Caenorhabditis elegans: one gene and its partner. The protein of the gene in region 1 interacts with the protein of each later gene in a pairwise test. Each region holds a gene or a part of one and is shown on either strand. Other genes may lie near its edges.

Evidence for each region.
Region 2: the proteins of acdh-7 (region 1) and F35H8.4 interact in a two-hybrid assay, tested with the Caenorhabditis elegans proteins (one large-scale study listed by BioGRID).

The regions. Positions count from the first base shown.
Region 1 is NC_003284.9:17,211,186-17,224,796, reverse strand, and holds acdh-7 (Medium-chain specific acyl-CoA dehydrogenase, mitochondrial), read left to right. Parts: upstream 1-7,691; 5' UTR 7,692-7,694; coding exon 7,695-8,123; intron 8,124-8,187; coding exon 8,188-8,318; intron 8,319-8,698; coding exon 8,699-9,128; intron 9,129-9,428; coding exon 9,429-9,677; 3' UTR 9,678-9,779; downstream 9,780-13,611. Other genes in the region: Ras-related protein rab-6.2, read right to left, coding at 623-693, 743-897, 1,489-1,600, 1,927-2,032, 2,085-2,197, 2,258-2,318; acdh-10 (putative medium-chain specific acyl-CoA dehydrogenase 10, mitochondrial), read left to right, coding at 9,901-9,988, 10,104-10,584, 10,633-10,978, 11,144-11,320, 11,369-11,530.
Region 2 is NC_003280.10:9,553,331-9,565,119, forward strand, and holds F35H8.4 (uncharacterized protein), read right to left. Parts: upstream 6,700-11,789; 5' UTR 6,610-6,699; coding exon 6,544-6,609; intron 6,496-6,543; coding exon 6,388-6,495; intron 6,335-6,387; coding exon 6,203-6,334; 3' UTR 6,167-6,202; downstream 1-6,166. Other genes in the region: F35H8.2 (Glycosyltransferase family 92 protein), read left to right, coding at 2,185-2,288, 2,341-2,472, 2,521-2,617, 2,664-2,912, 2,958-3,037, 3,315-3,373, 3,422-3,644, 3,891-4,062; Zinc finger protein zfp-2, read left to right, coding at 4,414-4,483, 4,542-4,626, 4,672-4,808, 4,871-5,151, 5,195-5,443, 5,503-5,783, 5,852-6,017.

The DNA of each region.
Region 1 (13,611 bases):
AATTTTTTGTCTTTATTTCCACCAACTTCACTTCAACGTTTCACATATATCTTTCCGGGCCAAATATGTTGCTCTTCCTCATTGTGTTGCTTTTCAGGATAGCAGCTCATTCTTAACCGAAAAGCACAAAGTCAATATTTGATTAAAACTGCGTTGCTTTTCGTCTTTTCTTCCACCTCCCCATCATTTTTCGTGATCTACTGCTGCTAGTCTAACACCAAAAGCGGAGAAGATTTATTCGAGAACAGAGATGTTGGGAGAGTAAAAATGAAAACAAAAAAAAATCATTATCACACTTAAAATTAGCCAAGCAAAAATAAGAAGCAAAAAATTTAAAATAATAATAATTTATTATGTTACAAAGAAAATTACACATGTTTACCATCGCATAAGTTAATAGAGAAGAAGCCATTCAGAGTTCATTCACACAGAAAAAATCGATAATGTTTTTGGGGAATTTTAAGATATCAAAACTTACTGGCGATAGCGCTTTTAAGGGGGATAATTAATATTTCTTCATGACAAAACCATTACGGGGGCGGAGGATGCTTTAAATAAATTATGCGTTGAGATTGGAGTATCACAACCTTTTTTTGACATTTTGCTCAGGAATACAAAGAGATTAGCACCAGCACGATCCCTCGTCGGTGACAATTTGACGCTGACGGATTGGGTCCATCGTGACCACATTTGCTGAAAAAAATCATGGCTTTTTGAAGTTAAAAAGGTTTTTAAAACTTACGTGGCTCCACTGGGTCGTCCTTGATGATTCCTGGTAGGGCTCCGGCGATACGACGGAAAAGCTGCTTCACATTGTAGCCGGCCTTGGCAGAAGTCTCGATGAACATCACATTAAGCTCCTTGGCCTTTCTCTCTCCTTCGTCGGTGGTGACTTGCCTGAACAAAATATGTAAGTCTTATGTCAGTTACAAATTAATAGACCTGGAGCATTACACATTGAGTTTATTAGTTAGGTTAACAGGTTTCAGAAAAAGATAGTTCAGCTAAGACCACGCAAGATCAGCTCGAAACAGGCCAGCGCAAGGTAAGTTTAGCTTGAACTAATTCTGTTTAGAATGCGCATTTTTAGCCTAATGTAACGTAGATTTTGCTCAGGAAAAATCAAATTATGGGAGATTCAGCTTATGTAGCTTATGTAGTAGGTTCAACTGAATTGTGTTTAAGGATGAGCTGGAGATAGAGAGCTTGGGCTTGAAAAGCGTAGGCTCTGATTATAAAAAATAAACTTGAGGTAGGTCCAGTTGAAGCTAGTTCAAGTTAGTGCAGATCCAATTTATGTTAACGTAATTTCAGTTAAAGCTATTTCCTATCTCCAAACAATATCTTTAGAGAAGGTTTTAAGCTAGCCAAGATTTCATACTGAAAGTTATGCCGATTAAAACTTCAGCCTGGAGCTACTTAAATGCATATTCCGCCGTTTCCACTACACAATTTAATTGAATTTTTAGCGGAAACTCTCATTCGAACCTCTTATCGGAAAGATCGGTCTTGTTGCCGACCAACATGATGATTACATCACTTCCACGCTCAGTACGGACGTCGTCAATCCACTTGGAAGTTTGATGGAAAGAGTTGGAGTCTGCAAAAAAGTTGGGGTTAAATGAAGCTTTTTTGTCGTTACCGAGAGTTTTTTCATTGCCCACCCTAGTTCAAAATCAAGATTAAACAAAAAATAATGGTTTCCTTTTGGATTCTAACTTTTCTATCAATATAAATTGTTTTTTGAGCTTCTCTTCTTGCTAGAAGCTTTTCGCATTAGAGCTGCCAGTGACTATTGTAGTATTAAACCAATATAGTTATTATAGTTACTACTATATACACTACTATAGTTAAAAAATTTCTCCCAGAGGATCCAGTGTGAAGCTTTACAGCATGAAACATCAGAAAAACTTCTTCCAAACTTACTGGTGATGTCATAAACCACAACAGCAACTGTAGAATCACGGATGTAGGATGGGATGAGTGAGCGGAAACGTTCCTGTCCAGCGGTGTCCCAAAGTTGAAGACGAACCTGAAATTACGGATTTTGAAATCATTTCTTTACGCAAAAACTGATTTCTTACGGTTCGGTCCTCCAAGTACATGGTCTTACTCAGGAAGTCGATTCCGATGGTGGCCTGGTAGGTGTTGTCGAAGGAGTCGTACATGAAGCGAGTGATTAGGGAGGTTTTTCCGACTGAAATTTAGAAACTTGAGAATTCAATATCTACGGTAGAATTTCAATCAAAATACTCACCACTTTGTTCCCCGAGGAACACAAGCTTGAATTTCTTCAACGGATTACCAAAGTCCGACATTTTTCTGTAATTTTTCTAAAATTAAATCAAGTTTTATTTTAAAAAAATTATAAATGAAACTTCTCGCAAGAGGAACACGAACACGAGACAAAATAACGGAAGAGATGTGGTCACTGCCACGCAGGGACAAAAATCGATAGGAGAACGGGTGTAAGGCACGGAAAAGAGGAGAAATGCAACATTTGGGCCGCATCTGTGTCTCTTTTTCTCATCGATTGTCTCTCCTCGCTTTACGAACAACTGAGCAGTAGAAAACGAAAAAAAAAGGAGACGAAAATGAGAAATTTGAAGCGAAACGAGCTAAAACTGATGAATTTAAACCGTAAAAGGTTTATGAAAACGGAAATATGCTATGCAGTGAACACTTTCCCCCTCTCAGCCGGTCAACCACGTAGCGATATGCAGGGGCAGAGACTCAGGCGAAAGGGGTTTCCCGTCGAGACCCGACCCCTCGGCCGCTCGTAAATCCACACCTGCGCACTGCGCACTGACCATAACAACACGTTTAGATGAGGGAGTTTTGTTTGTTTTTTGAATAGAGGTCAACTTAACGTTTCGGAATTTTGATTTTTGTTCAATAACTTCAAACAAATCTGAAACTGCAGCTCAGAAGTTTAATTTCTATTAATTCTTAACAATTTGTTTGCCTGATCTGTTATTAAATACAAAAATTATTTTAAAAAATAATTTTAAAAAAAGAGGGTTTTAAAAGAAAAAAGTACACAGTTAAAAATCGAAATATTTAATACTAATACTGAATTTTTTTCCAAAACAAAGATTTATTTTTTTAACTTCAATTTTTGCAGACTTAAATAAAAAACGTAGTTTTATCAGTGTTTCAAATATGCAGCTGTCACAAAAGCAGCGCAAACGAGTCATTTTTTGAATTAACATGAAAAGTTGTACATTTGAAAATTTTAGTTCAGAATTCAGAATAATCCGAACTATAGAAACTAAAAGTCTCGGAACTTTTGGAATAATTTTCGGCAAACAATCGTAAAACAATATTCAAATGGATAGCTAATTTTAAAATGAACTCTTCACAGAAAATATGTGTTCTTAAAAAATTTGTTTCATAAATAATAATATTAAAACTCTAATTAGTAACTTCAATTCGCTATAGCTGTGCCATGAACTTTGGAAAATGTGCCTAATCCATTTTTAGCAATCTAAACAAGTCTAAAGGAAAATTATTTAAAGAAAACAGACGTAAAAATTAAAAAAAAACACTTCAAAACATTTATGACTTTTTTTTGGTTTACTTTCAAGCATTTTAATCACCGTTTTAAATAGCTAATTTCCACTGAAGGAGACCAAATGAGTCATAATTTGATATAAATGCGTAGGAGGCATTTTCGTGATTGGTTTTATTATGTTTTAACTTGAATTGCAAAAAAAATGAAAACGATACTTGAATCGTCATTAGATTCATGTCCAAACTCTGGGAAATGTCTAAACAAAATTCAAACAGTGAGATTCAGACTAGGGACGAGAGGCTCTTCCGTTCGGCAAATTTTTTTGTCTGCCTCCTTCCTAAAACCCCCATCTTGCCACACACACGCGTTTTCGGTGTTCAAAAAATGTTCAAAAAATGTCCGAAAAATGTGTAATACAACTTTGAACGTTTATATCTCGGCTCTCACGGAACCGATTTTTGAAATTCTTTTTTCTCTACATTCACAAAGTATAGCGACGTGTGTTCATCTAAAAGGGGGTTGATTTTGGAGCATCCTGTCGGCTCCACAAGCGGAAAACCACACCCTCTTGTTTTTGCGCACACCGAAGTACTGGCCGAAAACCACTTTAAATTGAAGGAAAATTCGAGTTTATGTTCAAAACGTTTGAGACTCGAAACTTAAGTTCTCCTTTTCAATGCCTATCCATTGTATCTAAGTTCATTGTGATATCTCTATTCGTTATTTTAAAAACGATAATTAAAGTTTTGCCAAAATTTCTGCACCTCCCCCCTTTTCTCACACACACACCCACCTCCCCTTTTCATATTTGGTGTGTTTTCGGCCACATTTTCACCATTGTTTCGGTCATATCTCCGTTAGTCTTGCTCCTTTTTCAAATTTTTTTTTGGAAAAATGTTCATCACATCGAGAGGAAGCGGAAAATATAATTTTTTGTTTCAAAAAAGGTAAATAATAGTCTCAAAAATAGAAAAAATGAACACTTCTTTCAAACAATTTACATTTTTCCATAAAATTCACAAACTTTCCACTATCGTTCCGGTTTTTATGTTAAATTTAGAATTAATAGAATAAAATAAAATGAAATCTCAAATCACAGCTTGATCCGATCATTTTTCGCAGAGATAGGTTATTTAATTTTTGCACATGGAAATCCAGTTTTCCTCTGTTCCTGGACAAGTTTTCAACTATCCTTTCGATTTGATGTTTTAATTTTGATAATTTTCATTGAAGCAAGGTAGACAAACTAAATTTGGTCGGTCTTGACAACTTTCAGCACATTTGTGGAAGTTTTGAGCTTCCAGGCCTTCCCAGAAGGTGATATGTTTCAATTTTTGTTATTTTTAAACATAATAACCGCCGTATTATTCTACTTTTTACGCCAATTTCAACAATTATTTAATTTTTCTCAAACTCCTACTATGAGCAAAGTTATGACGGATTGAAGTTTTAGTGCATGACTCCTCACAGGCCGCCTCTCCTCACAAAAGGCTGCATGCGTGCGGGTGGCTGGAAAATGTTTTCTTTCCAAAAAAAAACAATAGAAAGGCACTTTAACTCTAAGAAGAAGTTCACTTTGAACATATACTTCAGGCATTGCAGGCCGGAGGCCTGCTGTGCGATTACAACTGTTTTAAGCCCAGATTGGCTGGATTGAGTGCCGCAGGCACTCTTACTCTTAGAAGACGCAGTCAACCTTAAATCATTATACCAAGGCAGGCCGGAGGCCTGATATGCGATTACTCTTAGATAAGTTTGATTTAGAAAGCTTTTATTATTTTCAGTTTTCTAAAACAATCCCCATTCCCGAAGGGCTGGGGGCCCACAGGCGTTCACGATTTTCCAAAAAGTAGATGTTATTCTCTCGAACCTAATAACCAGGTTTGAGGGCCGCAGGCCCGAACACTCTTGGAAACTATGGGCTGGCTTTGATCCTATTCTAAGCAGATATGTTATTAACTCAAGCCTAATAACCAGGTTTGAGGGCCGCAGGCCCGAATACTCTTGAAAACTGTGGGCTGGCTTTGATCCTATTCTAAGCAGATATGTTATTCACTCAAGCCTAATAACCAGGTTTGAGGGCCGCAGGCCCGAATACTGTTGAAAACTGTGGGCTGGCTTTGATCCTATTCTAAGCAGATATGTTATTCACTCAAGCCTAATAACCAGGTTTGAGGGCCGCAGGCCCGAATACTGTTGAAAACTGTGGGCTGGCTTTAATCCTATTCTAAGCAGAGCAGGCTGTAGGCCTGCGACGCGGTTGTTATTTACTCAAACCTAACAACCAGGTTCGAGGGCCGCAGGCCCGAACACTCTTGGAAACTATGGGCTGGCTTTGATCCTATTCTAAGCAGATATGTTATTCACTCAAGCCTAATAACCAGGTTTGAGGTCCGCAGGCCCGAATACTCTTGAAAACTGTGGGCTGGCTTTAATCCTATTCTAAGCAGAGCAGGCTGTAGGCCTGCGACGCGGTTGTTATTTACTCAAACCTAACAACCAGGTTTGAGGGCCGCAGGCCCGAATACTCTTAAAAAATTGTGGGCTGGCTTTAATCCTATTCTAAGCAGAGCAGGCTGTAGGCCTGCGACGCGGTTGTTATTTACTCAAACCTAACAACCAGGTTTGAGGGCCGCAGGCCCGAATACTCTTAAAAAATTGTGGGCTGGCTTTAATCCTATTCCAAGCAGAGCAGGCCGTATTCATGAGTTTTCCTTTTCCTTCACCGTTTTTTGTAGTTCACAGTGATGATTGAAAACACGCTTATTTTATTGAATACATTCAAATTATTCTTGAACAAAATCTCAGCCTAAGTTATTCGTACAGTGTCGGTCCTGGAGCAATGAATCAAAGTTTAAAGAGATTTCACTTTACACAGTAAGAGCTTCGAGGCGAAGCCTCAAACCTGAATAGTCAAGTTTTCTAAACATATACCCACTCCTAAAATAATTTCAAAGAGATCTCGAATATCCCGTTAACAGGTTCGAGGCGAAGCCGAGAACCTGCGCCAGCTACCTTGCTAATAACTTAGAGCGAATTAACCCTATCCCCATTCCCGAAGGGCTGGCGGGCCCATAGGCCCGCTAGTCGACAAATTAAGCAAATCGGCAGATTGCCGGTGTGCCGGAAATTTTCAATTCCGGCTGTATGCCAGTCTACCGATTTTCCGGACAATTTCATTTTCGGCAAAATGCCGATTAGCCGTTTGCCGGACATCAATTTACCGGAAGTGGCCAAAGGGATTTTTGAAATAAAAACAGATGTAGGAACATTCATAGGATGCCTACAATTTTCCCGATTAAAATTGAAATTTAAAAATTTCCAAGAAAAAATTTCGGGAATTTGCCGATTTGTCAAAAAAAAACCCCACCCCTTACTCAAATTTTTGCAATAGAATTATTTCAAATGTATAATGTTTTTATTGTCTATACTTCTGAGTGAATCGGAAACTAAACTCTTATTAGCTGTTTTTTCTTTCTCTTAATCCTGCGTCTCATTGTTCATGAATTGTGGATATTTTTATTTATAAACATTCTTGGTATACTTTTTTCATTGATTTTGAATAATAGTTGAACATAAAAAAACTGCTCAATTAAAGTACCAAAGTAACATTCATACGCTCCGAAGAACATGCACCTATGCACTTTGGACTTTATAGTGACTACACTGTTGCCATGTGGTCATTTACCTGCGTTACACCATCTGCGTCTCGCACTCTCTTACCACAACACTCTGCCAACACAACAAAGTGCCACACCTGACGACAGTCTGCGGACCATCGATCCCCCCCCCCCCCCCCCCTCCCCATATCTCGCATTCATTTCTCTTGAGTACACCACCCCATTTTCGCAGTTCTCTGGTTCTTTCTGTTTGATCTCTATTAATCTCATATTCTTCTAAATCATTGGCAGTTTTTCCCAAAACAGTATCAAAAGCGTGCCATCCTTATCACCTCCGTGACTTTCTTATCCATACCCAACAACAAGTAGTCTCCGCCCAAGCGGGCCAATTCTCCATCTCTCTCTCTCTCTCTTTACCTTCACAAAACATTTTTCTCTTGATGATAGCAGCAGACGCCACATACACCGTGTGTGTTCCAATTTTTTGTTGTTGTCTTTTCCTCAATTACTAGGATTATCGATTTTTCATAGCAAACTCTCAATAAAGTTTTTTTCAGAAAATGCTCTCCAGAAACTTGACGAAATGCACGCGTCTGTTCAGCACCACAAACAAGGCCATGTCAACCGGCATGGACTTCCAGTTGACCGCTGACCAAGCAGAGTTCCGTGCAAATGTTCGCAAGTTTGTTGCCGATGAGGTCATCCCAGTTGCCGGCGAATACGACAAAACCATGGAGTACCCGTGGGAGATCATCAAGAAGGCTCATGCACAGGGATATCTGATCGCCGACATTCCAGAAGCTTATGGAGGACTTGGAGTTGATATGGTCTCGAATTGTATCATCAGTGAGGAGATGGCATATGGATGCTCGGGTATTGCTACCGCTATCATGGCTAATGATCTTGCACTGACCCCGCTCATTTTATGTGCCAATGATGATATCAAGAAGAGATTCCTTGGTAGAATGATCGACAATCCGTTTGTGGCGGTAAGTATTTTCGAAATATACTTGAGTTCTTACGGTAAATAACACCTAATCAATTTTGTTTTAGTCCTACGCCGTCACCGAGCCAGGAGCTGGATCCGACGTCGCCGGAGTCAAAACCAAGTGTGAGAAGAAGGGTGATGAGTATATTCTCAACGGCTCAAAGATGTGGATCACAAACGCCGGACATGCTAACTGGTGAGTGAGTTCCACGTGGTGAGGATCTACGTCATTGTAAAGTCGGGCAGACTACAATGATTGGTCGACTACACAAAACTTGGACTTTGTACCGCTAGACGTGGAAATGAGAGAGAGAGAGAGAGAAATGGAATAGAGAAAGAAAGAATGCGACAGGAAGATGAAGAACCCTCGTTTTTCTTATCAAAACGTGTACTTATAATCAACAGGTCAAAGTGCAATGATTCTAGGAGACGCGAGAAAAAAGGTCTACCGTAGATATTGTTATGGGCCACTGTAAATCCATAAATATGCTGAATGGAGCATTCTGGAAAAATCTATCTGAAAATAAAATATTTTGTCGCTAAAAAATTCACAACATTCCTACGCTCTTTTTTCAGGTTCTTCGTGCTTGCCCGTTCCGACCCAGACCCAAAGACCGCAGCAGGAAAAGCCTTCACCGCATTTGTCGTTGAAGGGGACACCCCAGGACTCACCAGAGGACGCAAGGAGATCAACATGGGACAACGATGTTCAGACACCCGTGGTATTACCTTCGAAGACGTCCGTGTTCCAGCCGCCAACGTCGTCGGAGCCCCAGGAGAGGGATTCAAGGTCGCCATGAAGACATTCGACAAAACCCGGCCAACTGTTGCAGCACTTGCCACCGGAGTTGCTTACCGCTGCTTGGACGTCGCCACACAGTATTCTCTGGAGAGAAAAGCGTTTGGAACGCAAATTGCCAACCATCAAGGAGTGTCGTTCTTGCTTGCCGAGATGGCCATCAATTGTGAGCTCGCTAGATTGATGACCTACAAGAGTGGTGCAGAGGTAGGTCAAGCAGAATCAAATCAAGCTTTTTGAAGGATAAAATGTTTATGTTAAAATGGGAGGCGCCCCGTAAATTTACAAGTCCGCAAACACCATGACGCATTTGATGCAGCAGGCAGAACATCACAGTGATGTACATAGGAATATGAGCATAAAATCGGTACTATTATAGGAAATTACAAAACGCTATACGAACTTCAAATGCTGATTAAACTTAGAAAAGATTGGTCAGCACGCTAATTGCCAGCCATTTTCTGCAGAAACACACTCAAACTATCATAATTTCCCTCACTCTTCCAGGTTGACGCTGGCCGCCCAGGATCCTACTACGCTTCGATCGCCAAGCTCTTCGCTTCCGACACTGCCAACCAAGCCGCCACAAATGCTGTGCAAATCTTTGGAGGAGCTGGTTTCAACACTGAATACCCAGCGGAGAAGCTGATGCGTGACGCCAAGATCTTCCAAATCTACGAGGGAACTTCGCAAATTCAACGCATGGTCATTGCTCGTCAGTTGCTCGCTCGAGTCGCTCAGAATGGAGGATATTAGCACGCCACCCGTTTTTCCCCGTTTGATCACAGTTTTGTACAAAACACTGGTATATTTTGTAATTGTAAATGATTTGAAAAAAAAAGAAACAGTTTTGATTTACTTGCTTTTTTTATTTACTTTTCGCACTTTACGGTTTGTCACCGTGTTACATATTTTTGTATTGTTTTTTGGTTGTTTTTTTTTAATTCTCAGGTTTTAATTCAAAAGTTGCAGGTTAAATATGCTTTCCCGAATTGCAACATCATCGCTGGGGCTTTCCCGCTCTGCAACCGGAGTCATTGCCACTCAATCTCGTCAAATTTCTTTTGGTAAGTTGAATATACTTTTGGCAACTTATCCAAAGTAATCTAGATTTTAGTAGCTCTTGAGAATAGACAGAGCAAAACTAAATAACTGTACGAAACTTAATTTGACAATTTTCAGACCTCAGCGAAACCCAAAAGGAGATTCAAGACGCCGCTCTCAAGTTCTCCAAGGATGTTCTCGTCCCAAATGCAGCCAAGTTTGACGAGAGCGGAGAGTTTCCATGGGAAATTGTCCGACAGGCTCATAGCCTTGGACTCATGAACCCACAGATTCCGGAGAAGTATGGTGGCCCAGGAATGACCACTCTTGAGACTGCCCTCATTGTTGAAGCTTTGTCCTATGGATGCACTGGTATTCAACTTGGTATCATGGGACCATCTCTTGCCATTGCTCCTGTCTACATCTCTGGAAATGAGGAACAGAAGAAGAAGTATCTTGGAGCACTCGCTGCGGAGCCAATTATTGCTTCGTACTGTGTGACTGAACCAGGTGCTGGATCTGATGTCAACGGAGTTAAGACCAAGTGTGAGAAGAAGGGTGATGAGTACATTATTAATGGATCCAAAGCCTGGATTACCGGGGGAGGACATGCTAAATGGTTGGTAAAAATTGCGTTGGGTTATAAAAATTAAAAATATATTTTCAGGTTCTTCGTGCTAGCCCGTTCCGATCCAAACCCAAAGACTCCAGCTGGAAAGGCTTTCACCGCCTTCATCGTTGACGGTGACACTCCTGGAATCACCCGTGGAAAGAAGGAGAAGAACATGGGACAGCGATGCTCGGACACCCGTGTCATCACTTTTGAAGACGTCCGCGTGCCAGCCGAGAATGTGCTGGGAGCCCCTGGAGCTGGATTCAAGGTCGCCATGGAAGCCTTTGACATGACGAGACCAGGAGTTGCCGCCGGAGCACTTGGACTCTCGTGGAGATGTTTGGACGAGTCGGCCAAGTATGCTCTGGAGAGAAAGGCTTTCGGAACCGTAATTGCCAATGTAAGAGCTTGCATATGAAACCTACAGCGGAGCTACGATAGATAAAACATTAGAAATGATCGAAGAACTTCGTTCCTGGAAGGGACTTTTCGCCACGGTCTTTACTTGTTTCAGATTTTTCAGAAGTTTTCAAATTGCACATAAAATAATATTGACAATTTCCAGCACCAAGCCGTCCAGTTCATGCTTGCTGACATGGCTGTCAACCTCGAGCTCGCTCGTCTTATCACCTACAAATCCGCCAACGATGTCGACAACAAGGTGCGCTCTTCATACAATGCTTCGATCGCCAAGTGCTTTGCCGCCGACACTGCCAACCAAGCTGCCACCAACGCTGTTCAGGTTTGTCTTACCAAAACTGATTACTAAAGGCAACCTACATAATTTCAGATCTTTGGAGGAAATGGCTTCAACTCTGAGTATCCAGTGGAGAAACTGATGCGTGATGCCAAGATCTATCAGATCTACGAGGGAACCTCGCAAATTCAGCGCATTGTCATCTCGCGCATGCTTCTCGGACATTTCGCGCAAAATGGAACTAGCAGAATTTAGGATGTGCCGTTTTTGAGCAATTTGGTTACACAACACGAGGTCTCTCCAGCCACTAAGTATCTTTTTTGTATGATTTGTATACACGTTTTTTGAATGAAAATGATTGAAATGAATGGGTTTTATAAATTTGAAGTTTTAGAATTTGTATAGGATTTTGCAGGTTTTAAAGTGAAAATCAATAGACGAATGTCTACTTTTACCCAATTTTTTCTCAATTATTCTTAATTCAATTAAGCAAATGAAAATATTCAAACAATTTTGTTTATAGAAAAATATTCGCAGCAACTTTGCATTGCTAATTGGTGTGTTGGTATACAAAAAGAAAAATATTACACTTTAGATTTATTGAATTTTCGCTATGAAGAAATAAAGCAATTTTTGTCAGCAATTTCTTAAAACCTAAAACCGTTATGCTCGGTTTTCAATTATTTTGTTTAAAATACCAAGCTTTGTATTTTTGTACACATCATCATTAAATTCTCGATCTCCATTTATTGGAGGTTTGATTTTTGATTGTTAACTTATTTGTGTGTTTTATGTTTTGCATTTTGCTATTTGTAAATATGAAGCCCAGGTTTTGTTGGGAAAATTATGGTTTCCTTTATTCTTCGAAGGTGCCTTCTTTTGAAGTTTACGAATTCTTCATTTACAAATGATCAGAAATTGAACTTTGAGGTTTCTGGATTGTAACGGGAAATTTTGACCAAATTGATAGTTTACATGCAAGACTAATAATGGAAGTACGGTGAGTTACTCTCGAAAAAAGTTAATGTTTAAAATTTCTTTGAATTCTGTACAGGCGGAGGAAATTGACAAATTTCTAACAAAAATGTTTCAATCTTCCAAGGTTCTGCTCGAGTTTTGGCAAATTGTTAAGCTTTAAAAAAATTGTGTTTTTTTGAAAAACTTCAAGCATTTGCTGCAGGTTTAAATTGTTGCAATGTTCACACAAAGTGATTGAAGCTTAATTTAAACACTTAACAATATTTTACAACATTGTTTATGGCGCATTTTGAAAATTAGGAAACAAGCAGAGTTTCCCAATTTTCAAATGTAATTTTGAAGAATCCCGTTTTTTTTCTTTTTTTATGATCCATCTTCATGCTTAGCACACAACCAAGTTTTCTCAGCCACTTTTGATTTCTGATAATTCACGAGTCTTCTTTTAAATTTTATGGGTCGTCAAAATGAATGAACAAGAGTTTATTAAATATTTATCACCCATCTTTGTTCAGTTGTTGACCAGCGCTTTGCATTTCTAATTGCTTGCTAAGGCAACACGTAACAAGAATTTCCACAACATGTTCTTTTCCGATGACTTTTCCGTTATTTCAAATGGTTTTGTAGTATGAAACTTGACACAGAAAATCATTTGAATAATATCTCGAAGACATAAAACACTCAAGTCAATTAAGACATCATTTTCCTTTATATCGCACTTGACCTTTTCTTCCTGACTCTTCATTCCACCTTTTTTCTGGCGAGAACCGTGCGGCTACTCCTTTTGTATGATGACCCAATTGGACATGTACAAACAGTGAAAAGATCGACAATGCGGTTTTCACCTATTCATTTCTGGAGACTTGGAAAGTGAAAACACAGGAAAACGAGAATGAGAGGAGGAAGTGAGGAGTTCACACTAATCACAGATACACTCACCCGACCTCCAGTTTCTTTAAACAGGTTTTTAACTATTATTACACTGCGATATCATTTAACTATCAGTTTGCGTATTGTTGCTATTAGTTTTTTGTCTAACTGTTTTCAAAACTTATGTCCAAAAAGTTTGTTGCAGAAATTTCGTACCTGAATCCCAGATCCGCAGTGCATAGCACTTGAAAAACGGATCGTCCTTTAATCCTTTGTTTCAACTAACATTATCAAAAGTGAAATAATCAAACCGTCAAATATTCATATGAAACTTCTCAAAAAATTACTTTAAAAATGGTTAATATCCACTTTTCAAGCTTGTAGGTGTTATTATTTACTGATCTTTTTGGATCTGGTCGTTTGTTCACTAGAAAATTACCAAATTAGTGTACGGCATAAATTAAGAAATATTTAAGTCAACCAACAACTTT
Region 2 (11,789 bases), on another chromosome or scaffold:
CGTAAAAATAAAGCAACTTCTTTGACAGAATAATCTGGATGAGAACTGCCAGGTAGGCGAAGAATGTTTGCGTGCTTTTAAGGCAACCTGCACATGCCTCTACGACAAAAAATGCTGGCACGTAGGCACTGAAGGCGTACTCGTTTCCCATACAAAACCGCATGTGATCACCGAAAGTTTAAATTAAATCGCAGGCATTAGTTTTCACTGTGAACGCAATTTTTCAAGCAAATAAACAGAACTTCCTTCCAATATTTTATCAAATCCATAAACTCATATATTTTTTCTGATATACTTTCCCCCTTCTTCACTCTCTAATTTAAAAATTACAATACAACCAAGGTCTCTCCTTCTTCTCAAATACTGACCATGACAGAAAAAGAAAGGATCGATGTTCTGTTCCCGTCTCAACCTTTTGGTGTATACACAGATAGAATCTTTAATTTACGTCACATGTAAATGTTTTTCGTACCTTTTCCTTTTAAGGTATACATAGTAAGGACAAAATACTTGTTGACCAGGGACAATTGGTTATTCAAAGTTAATGATCAGTATGTTCGTACTTATAAGGAAATGACGTTAAAATGTTTTAAATGTAGTGTATCCCGAGTGTGGATGTATTTTATTAATTTTTAAATTCTTTAATTTTGTTGTTTTTTTTTGTTGATGTAGTATATAACTTTTTGACAACAAATATACCTATTATAAAATTTTCAAAATTTGAAGAGCATATGATTTGTTTTGATCTTCGAAATAAACATTGAACTGTTTAATTTTTGTTCACTACCATGTCTTGCAAAAACCGATATGTCTCGGTGGACAACGTCACTTTCCATTAGGTCCACTTTTCTTCAATTGACCAAGGCCATTGTGTTTCCATTTATCATTTTTTCATCGGTTCTCATTTTATTTAAACAATTTTTTGAAACTTCACGGCAACTCGTGGGAACGGGAATCGCCATATTTTGACTTTCCCAAAATTTGGGTAACAGATCAACTTTATATGGACAATATATACAGTCCAAGAAAGAAGTTTTTCCAAGTGTTTGCAATTTAATCGTTGTTCCGTTGAACTATCCCAATTACGTTTTGCCAACAAACTTCTTTTGACTGTCTACTTGAAACATTGATTTTTTTTAATTAAGAAATTAGGTTTCAGATCAAATAAAAATACCGCTCATATGATTTTAATACCTAATTTTTCACATTAAAATTAGTTTGCCAAGACAGAAGAATAACTACCTGGCTGCCTTCCACGAAACATACGCCTACCTCGACTTTTTCAGAAAAATTCTCAGCTAAACTAATTTATTTGAATTGAAAAGTGAGAAATGAAAATTCAACACCGTAAGAGCACCGAGCGCCCAGATTAACGCCAATATAGAATTCAAAAATGGTGGGCAGGTAGGCAGGCGGGCTCGAAGCAGGTACGTCCCCTAAAGACGTACCTATCTGCCTAGCACGAAGGTCCTGAATTTCGAAAAAATTCGAAAAACTGTTTCTCCACTCTTGAAAATGGCGTGCTTCAAAGTTAAAGCACTTCCTTTACAGCTCCTATGTAGAGCTTTTCCTTCGAATTTTCATTAATTCCTTCAACTTCTCATCGGCTATATTCTGTGGAACGTGTTATTACAGTAGATTAAGACAAAATATGATGTATTGGTCGTTCATCTCTCGACCCCTAAACACCCACCACCCGCTCACACACAACCAAATAAACTAGAAGAACCTGTTCTTTTTTCTGTATGTCGCCAATTTTTTGTTGATTATTCTGCGTCTTCATCTTATTCTTACTACCGTCCCACCTGACATGAGTCTGGCTGGTCACAGTCGGTCCGATACGATATATTGTTATCGATTCGACTGAATCCTCCTCCCGACTGATCAATTTGTTCTCGATCAGATTATTTTTCTATCGGCGAGTTTTGTGGCTTGTGATTGGCGAATTGAACTTTTTTTTCCTTTTCACTTTCCCTAAACTTTGCAGAACTTGATCTTTATTCTTTCAAGCTTCAGGGAACTGTCTACAAATATTCAAACTTAGTTGTGAAAGAGTAAATCAAATAGTTAAAATCAAAATTCCCAATTTCTTTCTCCAATTATGAATTTCGAAGAGATTTCTTTGTCAATCCGTCATCATCTTTCCATAATCGTCTTAAATTGTGGAATTTCAGAGCTCATACCATGGCGAACCACGATTTTTGCACAAAAACCATGTGGGCTCTTTCAGTTCCACTTGGTGTTTTACTAATATTGTTTATTGCACTGACCGCTTATGCAACTTACAGGTTTGTCAAATATCAATATGCAATTTTTTTCACAAGACCAAAATTATTTCAGTTTTCACATATTTGTCCCAATTGCACCAAACAATGAAATTGACTGTGCAATTATGTTCAACAAAAGTTCAGAAGATTATTTGACTTATATAGAGAATCGAACATTACTTGAGACTACGCATAATGATAGGAAGTATGTTTCTAAATTTGTTTCCCTTAGCATCTTAGAAATAATTTCCAGCTGCTTCCAAATTCGACGTCGTAGATATCTTCCTGCAGATCTTCCTAAATCAATGTCGGGTTTTCATAATATGTTCTTTATTAGAGTTGTTTCAAAAGTATGTGCATTTGGGTATCCGTTGACATGAAACCTTATGATTTTAGGATTATGATTTTGTGGAAGAAGTTCTGGCAATGATGCATTCTCCAATTCATTTCTTCTGTTTCGTATTGGACATAAATTCAGAGCCGTTATTCAAAGAGAGGATGTTCAGACTCGGTGATTGTATGGTGAATGTTCTTGTTCCACGTGAACTGTTCAACACCTCCACAGCTCACGGAACTCTGAATGCTCATAGAAGGTGTCTACGGGAAATTGATGAATTTGACTGGAAGCATGCAGTTATTACAGCTGTGGGTAACTGAGTGAAGGGAGATAATCTAAATTTTTATTTATAGGAGCATGACATCCCACTTCACAGTACTAAATTCTTATCGAGAAGGTCTAGACGATTAAGAGATATGGTTGAGATGAATGGGTAAGCAATCAGGAGAGGGGACTTGCATCGGAGAATCTCAATCTAGGGGAATGACCACTCCTTCGAAACTGTGCCACTTTGGCTGATGTTGCAAGCGGAAAACGGTTATCAGACTCGAATTAGCAGATTTTTGGATGAGATGATTACCGGGCAATTGAACCGTGCCCTGATAGCAAAATTTGCAATTTGCGCACAGTTTCGTAGGCATGAGCACCCCTTCGCAATCATCCTTGGGTCTCCAATATATACAGCCTCTGGAAATTTCAATTTTTTTCAGAATTCATTTCAAAGAAGAAACGTTAGCAAACGCAAATCCAAACGATACTTCTAGTCAATGTGAGATCTGAATTATGTATTTAAGATTATCAAAATGTCCATTTACAGTATTCCAAGTGTCTCGAAACTGGCTTCAACATCTCTGCTCAGTGGCAACAATTTCCCACTCTCAACACAAAGTTTTATACGATTATCTTCTGAAAACTCCAGATTTCGATTTACCAAATGATCAGCATCGAGAAATTTCGGTTGTTGAACAGAAATGTGATACGATGAAATATGATGTTGATGGATCTTGTCTGTACGCGATGGAGGATTTTTCTGCGATTAGGTTGGTTTACTTTTTTCTCAATAATATTTTTAAATCCAAATTTTCCATATTTCCCTGATTACTTTTATTTTTTATTGTTTACAAACTACACAAAATCTAGAAAAAGTCCATAACAATAAGAAGTTGGGAAGTACAGTACAGTTTAAAGGTGCATACATCTTTACATTAAAAAAAAATCGACGCGTCGAGACCTAATTAAAATTTTTCAATTTATGTTCAACATTTTTAAACCTTTTATCATTTCAGAAACACTACCCGTCTCTTCATTCGCGCCGATCCCCACTACGACTTTGGTTTCGTACAATGTGTTCATGAAGTGGTCTTTGAACGAACCTTCTTCGACCCAATTTCGAATAAAAATGCTAATAATTATTTATATGGATCTAGAGTCAACTTGATTGATGATTACCGTAACTAGACTCGTTTTCACCTGAGAACTTTTTACTTTTACTCATAGAACGTTCGGGTTCTTTTTGTTTTTCTTGTATTTTAATGCGGGTTTCTGATGTTTTTTCGTGTATTTTATGAATATGTTGCAATCAAATAAACATTTTAATGAAAATTCTGATTTAAGTCTCAAGAGCATCGATGCGCCATAATTAACTAGAGTGAGAGACGTAGGAATGGGAACGAAACTCCGATATAACGCACGCGCGCATTGTTTATCGTAAATTTACACCGCGATTTTTTCACATGATTTAATCAATTTTCAGAATTCTCTTTTTAAACCCCTGTTTCATCCCACTTGTAATGATTTTTTGTACAAAAAATGGAAGAAATGATGATGAATGACCCTTCTGCAATGGTTATATACGAAGAAGAAGTCACGACAGCTCCAAGTAGGTTTAAACTAAAATTTTTCCAATAAAAACTTTTGAAAATATTCTTTTCGTACAGATTTGCCATGCAGTTTAATACAACAACGTTCTTGGGACGAGGAAAAACCGATAGGATATGAATTGACCAATACAAAGTGCTACAAGTAAGGGAAAACTGTGTTTCCACTGAAAATTATCTTATTTTCCAGAACACCCAATGGAGTACAGAAAACCGCTACAATCCAAAGGGAACAACTATCCACGAGTAAAGATTTTGGAGAGCAACAAATTGTTGAAATGGATGGAGAATTTAGTATCGAAGGGACTGACATGCATGCTATTCCTTGTATGTTTTAATTTATTAATCAATCTTTATGGGCACTCGCATTAAATTATTTTGTTTATCAGGTACTTCCTCATCTATGCAACCTTCGACGTCATCAAATCCATCTTCTGGAGAACATCAACCAGTGCCTCTTCGTAGAATGGCAATTAAAATCGGACAACGAGTTCTTCGGTTTAAAGTTATCAGTGCAGAAGAAGCTCCAGAAGCTCCACTTGACACACAGGATTCATGGATTAACGATCCGAAGCCCGTTACAACGCCGAAAGCATTAGCTGGATTATATCGGTGTACTAACTGCAAAACGTATTTCGGAAATAAAGAAGTATATCAGAGACATATTCAGGTATGATTTTTCGAGAACCTGAAAAAAAACTGGAATTTTTCAGGAAGTTCACGGAGATGCTCGTCCATTCCGATGTTTCAATTGTGGAATGCGATTTGCAAATAAAACCTCGATGACACATCATTTAAAAGATCATTCGTTATTGAAACCAATGTTTTCGTGTGATTATTGTCCTCGGATCTTTTCGAAATTGGAAAGCAAAACTCGGCATCATAAAATGCATTTCACGCGGAGCACTTGTCAGACTTGTATGCGATTTTTCACTACAGAAGATGCGCTGAGGCATCATCAGGTTAGAATTTAGGATTTTCTTCATTTAAAAAATAAATTTAAGAATATTGAAAATTTCAGTCCACCGCTCATCCAGCAACATTCGATTCTGGCCCACCACCTGAAGATCTTCTTCCAAATGGAAAATCAGCTCGATATAGTTGCAGTTACTGTAATCTTCGATTTCATTTCAAAAAAGACATGCTTGTTCACGAGCGAATTCATACTGGAGAGAAACCATACTCTTGTGGTTACTGTATGAAATCTTTTGCACAAAGCCAGGCGTTGACGGCTCATATTAGAACTCACACGAAAGAATTACCCTATGGATGTGGAAAATGTGATAAACGGTTTAGAGATAAGTAAGTTGATATTTAAATGATTTTTTTTGTTTGAAATCCGATTTCAAATCTATCTTCAAACTTTTCAGTTCCTGCCTCCGGAAGCATGAGCTTGCAGCGCACACAGATGAGCCGATCGTCCGTCCAATATCGGTCGCCTACAGTAATCAAGTACAAAAACAAATGCAACGTCAGCGGGAAAATCGAAGAAAACAAGAGCTTTTAATAGCCGAACGACATCCCTACAGAATATGATTCCTTTCTTAAAAATTAATTTTTCTTGTGTAATCTATGCTCTATCGAAGATGTAGATTTTTTAATGTTCCATCACTTCTACCCACATTTATTCCTCTTTTCTTTTGTCACTTTTTCACCATTTCAACTTTCCAAAACAATCATTCAATACAGGTACTAATTCCGTTTTTTCAAGTTTTTTTTGTTCAGGCCTTTCCTTCATTATTAGCAACTAAGAAATTCTCATTGGATTTCTGCCTGGTGATCAAATCTTCCTGCTGACGTTTCATCATTTCAAAATGGCGACGATGGTGTTTTGTAACTGCGTCATCGTCTGTCTGGAATCATTCGATTTATGCAATAATATATTACAAGAATGCTGAGAAATTACCTTCATAAAGTTGTATTTTCTCATCAAATACGTCACTATTACGAACAAAACGATGTATCCGACTTCGATAAGGATGTAGACATATGGTGGCGTTGGGTTTGGACCATCCTGAAACCCCCAAGGATCAATAATTCGAAAAACTAGAAAATTTTCAACCTCAATATCTGATTCCGTAGTCGTTAAACTTTTCACTGACATCATCGTTACATTGGTTGTTGCCATTTTTCCAGATTTTCAAGATGTTAGTTACGAATTTTTACGAAATCTTCGAGTAGAACGAGTATCCGATAGGAAATAATTTTATTAAAAGAAAATTGAACTATGCAGTTTTCTTTGGAAAAAAAATAAGAACACGCTCTCGGAATAATTTTTTGAATTCTTTTCTACTGAAAAATTAATTAAAAACATGATAAATTAGAAAAAATAATTCGAGAACAACAGAGAGACGATGCACACAAGAAATATCAAATTTCAAACTTGACAAAACTTCTTCGATTTCGTCTTTTCTCCTCTTTCCTCTTGTACTTTTCCACTCATTTTTTCTACTTGAAACTTAATTTTCTATATTTTATAAACGAGATACAATAATTTTTGCGTCAAAACTACGGTACCCGGTCTCGAAACGACAATTTTGTTAAATGCAAAAAGGTGTGCGCCTTTGAAGATTACTGTAACGCTAGAGTTTTTCTACAGAAAGATTTCACCGATTTTTCATAGTGTTTTTCTCTCGATCCGTGAGGAAATCCTTGAAAAATCGATGAAGTTTCCACAGCAACAAAAGTTTGGCACTACAGTACTCTTTAAAGACGCGCACGTTTTTTGTATTCAACAAAATATTTTCGTGTCGAGACCGGGTACCGTATTTTTGGCGCAAAATTTCGTGAAAGATTTAATTTTTTTTATTGAACATTAAGAACAAAGGTTCTGAAAATATATATGCTTTTCTGCTACCGTATACGAAAGTATTTCACAATTTCATCTGATTTTTCTCTGATTATGCTGGAAAATCACGCTTTTCACAAGGTAGACAAAAAAATTTTGAAAAAATTTTCTGATAGTTTTTTTTTCAGTACTGACAAATTTAAAAATATAACCTTTTCCTAAAAAAACCTGCGATTTTCTTTAAAAACATTTTCTAAAAAATGTCGAAATACCTCGAGATGATTGTCCAAAAATAACTCATAAAAATGTGACCAGCATTCTTTTTTTTTGAAGATTTTTCATTGCGGAAACAAGAAAAATAAAATGCGTAAAGAATCAGACTAACCGGTTATTCTGTCTATGTCTCTTAAACATCAACCTATCTTTCTCTCGACATTGTTGAAATTGAGGTTTTGACTATACCTGCCGATCGCTCTTCGTTTTTTTCTATCTAAAACAACATTGAAATTCTCATGTATTTTTTGTTTCCTTTCTATCTCTATTTCTCACTGTCCCATGTGATATTTCTCAAATTTGTGTCTCCAATTAGTAGTGAGAATAACTACTACATTTCGGTCTTCCATTGGGTTTCGACAGTTTTTGGAGGACAAACTGCCCGAAATTAATTGGCATCTACTACTCACTTTTGACACTCAGTTTGCCACGCCGATCAAATCTGATGAAAAGGTTCACACCTAGTTTTTGGATTTGAATTCCAAACGGAGGTTTTGATAGTTTTTTCTTCAATATTTTCTAATGAATCTAGTACTTTTTGTTCAGTGAGAATATTGTATAGAGCCATTCTTAAAGTGCTCAAATAATAAAATATCGTAGAAAATCTTTTCAAAAAGCTTTTGCAATTTTTACTTGCGTTTCGCCACTCTAAAACTTGGAAGTCGACTAAAAAGTTTTATACGAACTTTTTGATCCACAATTTGTATTTTAACAATGTCGATGTTCAGAGTCTGAACTTTAGAACTTCAGACATTACATTTGATATCACTCTAAATAATCAATTTCGTCTTGAATCGTTCCCTAATGACTTTGAATAAGTGAATCTCACGCTACATTGACGTTTGATTCGGTGCTGTAAAATCGATTAAAAAAGTTAATTTAAAGTTAAATAGTTTGAACTTTTTTCCGAACATAGATCCATCTATTTAGATGCCTATCTCTTCTTTTCCTTCTTCTACTTTTCTTCATATTTCAGAGAAACTGAAAGTCGTTTAACTATGTCTACTTCCATTTCATATTCTGGCAGTACTTTCTTCATCGTTTCAATGTTTCATAGCAGTCAATAGACAAATTTTTAATTCAAGTTTTCCAATCTGTTTCTTTGCTTTCCAAAATTATTCTTATGTTGCTCCCGACTGGAAGGACAGACCACTTTCACCACGAATCTCATTTTTTATCTGAAGATATCAATGTCCCTGATAACAGCTAGGATAATAGATAGGTGTCAAGAACCATCAATCTTCTCAAGCTTGGCTCAACAGAGCCAGTCGAAAAATGAAAAAGTGATATGGATGGGGGACAAAGTGACCGGAGGCGGGGAGGGGGGTTAAACAAGAAAAAAGAGTTCGGCAATGGCCAGCTGCTTGTGGTTCTGATGGTTCGACATCTCGTATTTATTCAAGGTTTTGATGTTTCTATTATTTGTGGAATAATTGATGAGTACTGTATTTAGTCATAGGCATTTTAAGTTTATTGACTCTGAAACCTTTTTTCCCAGGTGACTCCAAAGTTCTTGACTACATTTTATCAATGCCTGCACGTTTTTTTTTCATGTGAAATCCAATAAAATCAAAGTATAGATAAGACGTACGAATATGATCATATGCAATATCCTGTTAAAATCTCTAAATTGCGCATCTTCAAACTATCGTAACTTAAAAACTACACGTCTTGAAAAGTAATGTTTAACTAACAAAATAATCAGAAATATGTTTTCTTTCTTTTGCATTATTTTTCATTGCAAAATAACAATAATTTGTTGAGTTACACAGAGCCAAACCCATTTTGCCAAAATTCACCAAAATTTTTGAGAACTGTTCTGTTGTACCTGTCATAACTCAACATCCATTGAATTTCCGAATGCAAATTTTATTGAATAATAATTCTAAGATATTTTGCTACATTTTATCAGTTTAAAGTTTTTTGATATTTTCATGTTCAGCCAAGTTACAGGCCATTTTTTGAAAAAATCCATTTTCGTCCATAAAACTCTTCATATCCAACGCATCGACTTGAAATTTTGAAAAATGATCACTTTTTTGAGGTTTCTACAATGTCCTAAAAAATCTTTCAAAAATGTTGGCTCATCTCCAAAATCGTCCTCCGCTCCAAAATAAGAAATGGGACTTTTGCTTTTCGAAAAATGGGCGAAAAAATTAAATTGCGATTTTTGGGTCGAAAAATATATTTTTAGAAAGCTGAGAACACGCCATTTACGAATTTCATGTTTATTTTAGGTGATTTCTGCTCTGAAACGACCTAAAAATTAAACAAAAAGAACATATTTTTAATTCTCACGTGTAATTATTTGGTAATTTGCTCAGTATTTCAATTGTTTTAATGCAAATAAAAAATTAAACGTGAGAATTAAAATTATGTGCTTTTTGTTTAATTTTTAGGTCATTTCAGAAAAGAAATCACCTAAAATGAACATGAAAATCGTAAATAACATGTTCTCAGCTTTCTAAAAATATATTTTTCGACCCAAAAATCGCAATTTCATTTTTTGGTCATTTTCCGAAAAGCAAAAGTCCCATTTCTTATTTTGGAGCGGAGGACGATTTTGGAGATGAGCCAACATTTTTGAAAGATTTTTTATGACATTGTAGAAACCTCAAAAAAGTGATCATTTTTCAAAATTTCAAGTCGATACGTTGGATATGAAGAGTTTTATGGACGAAATTGGATTTTTTCAAAAAACGGCCTGTAACTTGGCTGAACATGAAAATATCAAAAAACTTTAAACTGATAAAATGTAGCAAAATATCTTAGAATTATTATTAAATAAAATTTGCATTCGGAAATTCAATGGATGTTGAGTTATGACAGGTACAACAGAACAGTTCTGAAACATTTTTGTAAATTTTGAGAAAATGTGTTTGACTCTGTGCAACTCAAGAAATAATTGATATTTTGCAAAGAAAAATAATGCAAAAGAAAGAAAAAATATTTCTGATTATTTTGTTAGTTGAACATTACTTTTCTAGACGTGCATTTTTTAAGATACATCAGTTTGAAGATACGCAGTTTAGTAAAATTGTACATTAAAGTAATCAAACTCTTAGTTTTTTGCGCTAATAAAGATGTCTCTGACCAAAGTTGCGGAGCCATTCAAAGGTGTCAAATTCCACTTGTAGTGATCCATTTTTCTCACTTAAAATACCTATAGTAATACAATGTCAGTGTGTCAACTTCTCGTCGCCATTCCATGTATTTCTATATATTTATTCGCGTGTTTGTGTAACTGATCGGCATTTGCGGGGCGACGCCACATACACACATACTCCGGTGCGGCTCCTGAGTCCTTCCCTTTTTCATTCTAGATTCTCTGCGCACCCTCCAGGAATCAAACACTATTTTCGGGATCTTTTGTACCCGGGACAATGGGACAGTGCATGAATTTCATTTTTATGAATTTTACTGTTCATGCGGGTGTATTCTTTTTGACTTGGAATTAAAGTTTTGCATGTTCTATTGAAAAATGTGAACATCTTTCCTCAACTCTGAGATTTTTCAAATTTTTTTCTGTACATAATTTCTTGCACAGTACCTTCCAATTTATATGACATTCCCAGTTTCCGGTCTATAGAATCAATGCAATGACACACCAAAAGCACACCGCCATGAAGCTTTGGTTCCATTCAATTAGGTTCTCCATTCATTGCAAAAGCTCACTTATTTCTCATGTGTCTGGTTTTCTGTTGGGAATCAATATAATTTTAACAAATATTTTAACAGTTGTTTTTGAATAACTGAAAGCTTCTTTTTAAGGAAAACTATGTCCAATTTTTATTTTAATCAGAGTTGGTCCATTTCAGCGGCTTAGTAGGCAAGGCTGCCTTACGTGCCCCTTTTCCGCCTTTTTGCCCTTTTCGTGCATTAACGGAGCCTCAATGTAATTGTGGACAATTCGCGCCCTTGTGTAGATCCTAGTTAGGATATATGTACAAATCTATGCCAAAACTCACGTTTCAGCTACTAAAAACGTGCATACATGTTGTTTCAAAAGTCTTTTACTATTAAAATAATGAGCACAACATTTCCTGTGCTTGTCCCCGATTAAATAAATGCCAGCATATTGGACCCAGCATATTGGACCCAATTTGGGTCTCACCACGAAATTTTGTATACACCCACCCAGCACATCTTGTAGTTGAGAGTCAACATAAACAATTTCGACTCTTCGCTTCGTCTTCTAAAATATATATTAGTTCAATCAAAATTGTGCTGAGGAGTCAGCAGCCGCG